Sus scrofa: one gene and its partner. The protein of the gene in region 1 purifies or fractionates together with the protein of each later gene. This does not show direct contact. Links are inferred from orthologs where the notes say so. Each region holds a gene or a part of one and is shown on either strand. Other genes may lie near its edges. The genes, in order: CCNH and ERCC2.

Evidence for each region.
Region 2: the proteins of CCNH (region 1) and ERCC2 purify together in Homo sapiens (affinity purification with mass spectrometry; 3 studies listed by BioGRID and IntAct, counting the BioPlex papers as one, with this or other methods). This does not show direct contact. The link is inferred for Sus scrofa from reciprocal best matches to the Homo sapiens genes CCNH and ERCC2.

Annotation. Positions count from the first base shown.
Region 1 is NC_010444.4:94,994,225-94,998,040, reverse strand, and holds part of CCNH (cyclin-H), read left to right. Parts: intron 1-1,164; coding exon 1,165-1,276; exon of another isoform or gene 1,277-3,816. UniProt on the Homo sapiens protein: Regulates CDK7, the catalytic subunit of the CDK-activating kinase (CAK) enzymatic complex. CAK activates the cyclin-associated kinases CDK1, CDK2, CDK4 and CDK6 by threonine phosphorylation.
Region 2 is NC_010448.4:51,743,897-51,747,712, forward strand, and holds part of ERCC2 (TFIIH basal transcription factor complex helicase XPD subunit), read right to left. Parts: intron 2,642-3,816; coding exon 2,525-2,641; intron 2,438-2,524; coding exon 2,321-2,437; intron 1,995-2,320; coding exon 1,871-1,994; intron 1,775-1,870; coding exon 1,678-1,774; intron 1,560-1,677; coding exon 1,426-1,559; intron 1,332-1,425; coding exon 1,163-1,331; intron 1-1,162. UniProt on the Homo sapiens protein: ATP-dependent 5'-3' DNA helicase. Component of the general transcription and DNA repair factor IIH (TFIIH) core complex, not absolutely essential for minimal transcription in vitro.

The DNA of each region.
Region 1 (3,816 bases):
AAATATGACATTGAAGATCTTGATCTTGGATGACATTAGTTAATCAGTGTTTTTATGTTTTATGTTTCAAAAGTTAAAATGCCTCAGGGCATGTAAATATCATTTCTTGATTCTTTGTTGGAAATGATCTCGAGGTCTTCCCTCTTTAAGTGAGAGTGATGAATTTATCAGTCAGAAAACTGTAGGTTTTCAGTTATACCACTAGAGGGTTCACTTCCAAAACTAATTGTGATTTGGCCATAGATATTAGGATCCAGGAATTTAGTAAGTACAAGAGGTCTTAAAGGTAACCCACTGTGCTGATTTTATAGCTGACACTTACCTTCATTTTACTCCATTTGTTTAAATGTAAAATAAGAATAGCTCTTGCTGAAACTCAGAGCTGGAATGGTATTATCTTATTCATAATTTTTCACACACAAGATACTGTCCCAAGGGTTTTGATGCAAACACTGCTTTATTTGCTTTATGAAATAAGTCACTCATTTGGAGCACATGGCTGGCTAATTAGCCCTGTTTCTCTCATCATTCCTTATAAAAATCATGAGATTTATATTCTTTGTTTTGTGGTAGTTGAATAATATAAAGGGCCCAGGTGGAGAATCCTTGTGTGCTTAGTCACTGTAGTAGTTTGCTTTTAGCATAAGGAGGGTATTTTTGTTTTCTTGGTGATGCTTCATTGTATAGGTTCCGCATTGTGTTAAAGCAAAGCATCATTGACGGGTATTTATAAGCATTTTTCCTTCATTGCATATTACATAATAATGTTTTCCTTGTACATGAGGCCCTCCATCTGTAGGACAGAATGTTATGAATATAGTTGGTGGTAGAGAACAAAGATTGTTTACTAAATCATATAGGGATTTTTTAAAAGCCTTAAAACTGAGTAAAGTGACCATGGTAGGATTTGGAAAAAATACTGACTAGCAAAGCCTGCTTATCGTTATGCTGTACACGACGCGGGCTAAGCAGCAGAAGCTATAGTAACTTGAGTATGGTGTTCATTGAATTCTAATGTGAAATAATAATCCTGATAATAATAACCACATTTCAGGAGTGTTCTTTGTTGTTCCCAAAACTAGATGGGAAAATATTATTCATCCCCTTTATGAGAACCATACTTTTCATTATCTGATGTGGATCCTTTCTTTTATATACATATAGGCATGAGAAACTTGGTAAAAAAATATGAACCACCCAGATCTGAAGAAGTTGCTGTTCTGAAACAGAAGTTGGAGAGATGTCACTCTCCTGAGCTTGCACTTAACGTAATTACGTAAGTAGATGGGACACTGTTATCCTAGAACAGATATAACTATTATTGTGTTTAGCTTAAAATGTCATTTAATTGGTGAATGCTCATATGGGTAAAACTGACTTACCTATTAAATCAGATTTTTTTTCAACAGGATTAAACACGAGATAATAAAAGAATTTGGCTTTTTATAGTCAATTCTGCTCCTGCTGTGATTAACGTGTTCTTTGGCTTGTGGGATCCCATGAGGCAGAGTCTTCCTAGGGAATTCATGAACCTCTTCTTGTCCTTTTAATCTCTAGGTTTTTTGTAGGTCTGGTTATCTCCTCTGGAGAACAAGTACACTGTTCCAGATTTATTTCTATTAGCTAGGGTATGGAAATTTGGCATATTTTCTCTCAGTGGTAAACTTTATATTGAAGACAGAATCAATAGGAAAATGTGCTGTTAGATTTCTTGTTGCATCCATAAGGAACACTGTAATACGTCTTATTGACTTGTTGCTGAATGTGGAATTCACTATATTTGAGCTCTTTATCACCTGCAGCTTGAAGATCTGCTTACACCTTTCAGGTGTTTAAACAGTTGGGGATCTGGGTAGGTAATAAGAATGGTAAAATTATTATTTTATATTTTCTGTGGAACACATTCTGTAAAACTTAGTGGGAGGTAGGTCTGTCATCTTACAGTTGAGATGCATTTGAGATGTTTCTGATTCCATAATTGATGACTATATTGTTATTGGATAATATATGAGACATCAGACCAGAATTCTAAGGCCTTCAGATCAGGTACTTGTAACTCAAATTCTTCTAACTATAAAGCTATAGTAGGAGAATATCCCAGGACTTATGATGTGTGTAAAATATGGGACTATTTTATATTTGTAGCTGTAACTGCAAAACATGGCTTAGAATAGAACCTAAAATTGGTAAATTTCACTCCTGGGTTTCAGTGTTACAGCAAAAGTAAAGAAAAATGTTGACTTTAATGAATGAAAGTATTGCAGTACTGATTTATAATCTTTTCACATTGATTTTGAAATGGGCTTATTAGACCAGGTGTTGGCACACTGTGGCCCAAGGGCCAAATCTGGGCCACAACCTGTTTTTAGAAATAGTTTTATTGGAACATAGATCCATCTAGCATACTGTGTATTGCTGTTTTCAGACTATAGCAGAAGAATTGTGTAGTTGTGACAGAAACTACATGCCCGTACAAGAATTAAAATACTCACTATATGGCCTTTTGAAGAAAAATTTGTCCACCTCTGAATTAGACCACTCAACTATTGATCTTACTCTTCTAGCTAGGTGACTGAATGGACCATAATCCAAAGTTCCTAATTGGCCAGAGTTTACATCTTTCTTTCAAGTGTACTGTGTTAAGCAAACCCTGCATATCTATGAGTACTTAAAGGGCGATTCTCAAACTGTAAAGGACTGTTAATTTTCTTTTTAACCCATTACAGACCTACACTTACATAAAATATTAACAAATAATTACTCGAAAAAAGAAAATGACAAAAAAATAAGCTTAAATTTTATTAGATTCAATAAGCTTAATTTTATTAGATTCAGTAGTCATAAATAAATCTATCAAATTCCTATAAAAATTTCTAAACACACACTCAATTTCTATACTTATCTCATTGCACGCTGGAAATGGTCCATAAATCACACTTACAAGCACTACTTTAGGATAAAATATTTTTTCTTGGTCTTTAAAATTCTTTTATCTTTTTTAATACACAAGTAATATAGTGTCATTATTAAAGCCAATTTAATACAGGTAAACCAGAGTTCTCTTTAACCAAAACCCAAATCCCAGTTTCATCCCGAGAGGTAACTTATAGTTGTTATCTTTGCCAAGCTTTTCACTATTATGTATTTAGAAAAGGGTTTTTTCCCTTTTCATTGTTTTCATACACATTGTACAACATTTAATAGTATCAGTATTTAACTTCTGCCAGTCTGGGTGAAGAAATAATCATCACATCGGTATTTTAATTTGCATTTCTCTTATTATTCTGATACTGATATTTCCATGTCAAATAATCCTGTTTCTTCTGTATTGCATAATTATAACCTCTGCCCAACTTTCTTGTCTTGTTTTCTTATGGTTCTTTTTATATACTCCTCTTTTTATATTTATCATAGACCTACTTTCTTTTGTTGCTTCTTTTACTTTGTGACATAGGCAGCTTGTCTTTTGCTTTATGCTCGTACACCTGAACACCTTGTCTTACTCTGTATTTTGCCTTTTGTTTAGCTGTTAAAACTATTTAGAATTGTATGTGATTGGTTTGAGGTAGAAATCTCACTAATTTTTGTTCAAAGTAAACTTGTATCAGCCATTTAAAAATATTTCATGATTTTCTCTAGTTATTTAAAATAGTCATTTATTACAGATTAAACTCCTATATATACTTTGTACTGATCATTGATCTTTAACTCTTTGCTAATACAGACAGCCCTTCATATCTGTGGATGCAGAGCACCAAATGTACGAATATTACCATTTCATAAAAGGGACTTGAGCATCAGGATTTTGGTATCTTG
Region 2 (3,816 bases), on another chromosome or scaffold:
CACTCAAGGCTCTCACCCTTCAGGGAGAGGCTGTGGAGCAGCAGCACGGCTTTGGTGTCAGGCAGACAGTCAGGTTTAAAACCCGCTTCCTGAACCTCCTTTCCTTTCCTCCACGGTCGACCAGGTGCCCCTCTATGTTCCCTGGGCCCCCAGGCCTCCCCCCATCCCAGCCCTGGCACGTCCCTCTCTCACTGGACTGTGAACCCCAGGAAGGCAGGGCCAGGGCTGTCTCAGTCCCCACCGTGTCCCAGCAGATCAGGCACTCAGGACCATGCAGGCGGCGAAGCTCCCCGCAGCCCTCACAAGTCTCCCACGGCAGGGTGAAAGGTGAGGCCCCATCGAGGGCTCCCCGCCCAACCTCAGGCAGAGCAGCCAGGAACTCCGGAGCCCCACAGGCCTGGCTTCGAGTCACAGCTACCCCCACAGTGCTGTGTGGCCCTGGGCACTGGCTTCCCCTCCCTGGGACACAGTGTCCCCATCCACAGCGCGAGGCGAGGACGCTATTGAGATCCCACGGATACGGAATGTAGCTTAGCTCATTGTCAGCACTCAAGATGCTAAGTTCCTGGCGTGGCTGCTTTCTCACCTAACCAACCACCTCAGGAACCTGGGAGTAAGGGGCTGACTCCCTGCCTGGGGCACAAAGGAGGAGACCAAGGTTCAGGGAAGACCACTGACTCAGGCAGAACAGCAAAGGAAAAGCCCAGGAAGCCCCACCCCCACTCCCGGGTCCATGCACCACCTCCCTGACCACTGAGGGGAGGCTCCTGCCCCCGGGGCTTGGGGGACAGTGGGAGGCGACAGGGGTCTGGGGGGCAGGATCCACAGCATTTTCTGCCAGCTCCCACCCTGCTGGGCCCATCAGAAGCCGCTCTCCAGGGCTACTCCCTCCCCTCCCCGTGTGGCCTGGGGTGGGATGAGTTTCCGCAAAGGTGCAGGGGCCTGGTCACCCCACCAGCTCCTCCATCCTGCACGGCCCCCGGGACCCCCGTGAACAGTCCACCAAACTCTCCTCTGCCTCTCATCTGCTGCCCGCCAAGCCCCTGCTGGCCCCAGAGCCCCCGACCTGCCCCCTCCGCCCCACGGGTGTGACACGCACTCCCCCAGGCTTCCATTAGTCCCCATACCGGCCCCGGGCCCACCCCCACCCTGCTGGACGAACCTGAGGGGCTTGCGCTGGATGCAGACGCGCTGGGCCAGGCCGCTGAGGAAGGCGGGCGGGCTCTCCTGCACCACGTGCTGCACCCGCAGCCGCCACTTGACGTACTCCAGCAGCCGCCGCAGGAAGCCCAGGAAGTGCTCGGCCGTGCGGATGGAGCCCGGCACCGCCTCTGCGGGGACACGGGCTCAGCCGGGTCGGTGGCGGGGAGGGGGGGTGCCAGGGGCCCAGCGGGGCGGGCGCGGGCACAGAGGCGGGGGGCTCACCCTGCAGCACCTCGTCGGGCAGCACGGGGTTGGCCAGGTGGGCGTCGGTCTCCCGGGCGGCGCTGGCCTCCCGCAGCCCCTCCACCAGGCGCCGGTACTCGTCCCGCAGACGCTGCTCGTCAGTCTCCTTGATCCTGCGGGGAGCCGGGGGATGGGAAGGGCTGGGGACACGCCGGGGACGGGGACCGGGGTCCTGGGGTGGGGGGCAGGGCAGGCAGAGAACCGGGCCTGGGAAAGGCCGGCGCCCCGCACCTGAGCACCGTCTTCTGCAGGGTCTCCAGGTTGCCCTGGCACCGATCCAGCATCCGGCGCGTGAGGTTGACACTCATGGAGTCGATGCAGACGTTGTCTGGAAGAGGAAGGAGGGGACGCCGGGCTCAGGCAGGCAGCTGGGGCGGCAGCCCAAGGGGCTGGCATGGCCTCCCAGCCCTGGCTCCCTCCTCACCAATGTTGTGGGCCTCGTCGAAGACGACGACAGCCTTGCGGGCCAGCTCCTTGGACACCAGGTCGGCGATCTTGGGGTCCAGCAGGTAGTGGTAGCTGTAAACCACCACGTTGGCGTGGAGGATCTGGGGGCCGGGAGTGCAGGGTTACCCCGGCCACCAGCGCCCACCTCGTGCTACTGCCCCCCGCCCACAGCACACGGCCCCAGTGCTGCCTGACAGGCCCGCAGAGACGAGGTGCAGAAAGGGGCTCAGGCAGACAGACAGACAGACACAGATGGGCAGGCAGAAGCGAACTGAGGAAAGACAGACACAGGCAAGGCACACACACTCAGAGAGACTGACTGACAAAGGGACAGACCGACAGGGGGACACAGGCAGAGGGACAGGTGGGTGGGAAGGCGTAACCCGCACGCACGCCCCCCCTGCGCAAGCCCTGCCAGCCTCCTCACCGAGTACCGGGCAAGGAAGTACGGGCACCAGCCCTGGCGCCGCCCCAGCGCCTTCAGGTCGTCCAGGTTGTAGATGCCAGCCGGCAGGGGCACCTGGCGCCCATGGACATCAAACTCCTAGGGTGACAGGGCACACAGGAGTCAGGGAGGTTGGCCGTGGTGAGTGGTCCCCGCCTCCCTCCCTCAGCGCTGCCCCGCAGGCACCTCATAGAAGCGGCAGTGAGGCAGGCTGGGGTCCTGCTGGTACTGCGCCCGCACGTAGGAGGCCGTGAGGCTGTGGCATTTTCCATCGACGTCCTTCCCAAAGCGCAGGGGTGTCACCTGAGGGGCCAAGAGGGCATCTTAGCACTGGGACAGGCCAAGGAGCCCAACCACTCCTGGAACCTGGGGCTCAACACCTAATGGCTAAGGCGGGATGGGGCCATCTGGCTGTCCTGTCCCGGGTGACACTGGGGCATCCGTGGAAACTGGAACCTCAACCTGCTTCCCTAGTAAACAGTTAAGACACCTGGAAACTTACTACAGGGAAGCAAGAGTTGGTACAATTGTTAGGCTCTTAAATTATTCTTTTTAAAACAGTAAGTCCAGAATTCCCATTGTGGGTGTTAAGAACCCGACTAGTATCCATGAGGATGTGGGTTCAATCCCTGGCCTCGCTCAGTGGGTTAAGAATCCAGTGTTGCAGTATAGATTGCAGATTCAGCTCGGATCTGGCATTGCTGTGGCTGTGGCACAGGGTAGCGGCTGCAGCTCCAATTCAACCCCTAGCCAGGAATGTATGCCACAGGTGTGGTCCTAAAAAGCAAACAAAAACAGTATGTCTTAGGGAGCTCCCTCGTGGTCTAGTGGTTAGGGTTTGGTGCTTTCACTGCAGCCTGGGTTCAATACCTGGTCTGGGAACTAAGATCCCTCATCAAGCTGCTCCACACAATGATCAAAAAAAAAAAAAAAAAAAAAAAAGTTAAGTCACATATGGTGTCAATTATATCTGAATTTTTTTTTCTTAATTACACCTTGAAGATTCTTTAGCAGGTAAATTACAGATAACTGCTTTATCTTTTTTCTTTTTAGGGCTGTACCCAAGGCACATGGAAGCTCCAAGGCTGGGGTCAAAGTGGAACTGTAGCTGCTGGTCTACACCACAGCCACAGCAACACAGGATCCGAGCTGTACCTTCGAACTACACCACAGCTGATGGCAATGCTGGATCCTTAACCCACTGAGCGGGGCCAGGGATCGAACCCACATCCTCATGGATACTAGTCGGGATTATTACTGTTGCACCACTATGGGAATTTCTGCTTTATCTTTTAAAATGCTAAAACAGCCAGAACCTTAGCAAGGTCCAAGAATCAGAGGAAGCTGCTCTCCCCTGCAAGGCTCTGCTGGTAGCACCGTCACAGCCCAGGGCTGCCTTTCCTCAGAACCAAATCTTTTTCCTCACCAAAGGGAAGGCTCTGAGGCTGGCAACACCTCCCTCTCCTTTTCCCATTTCA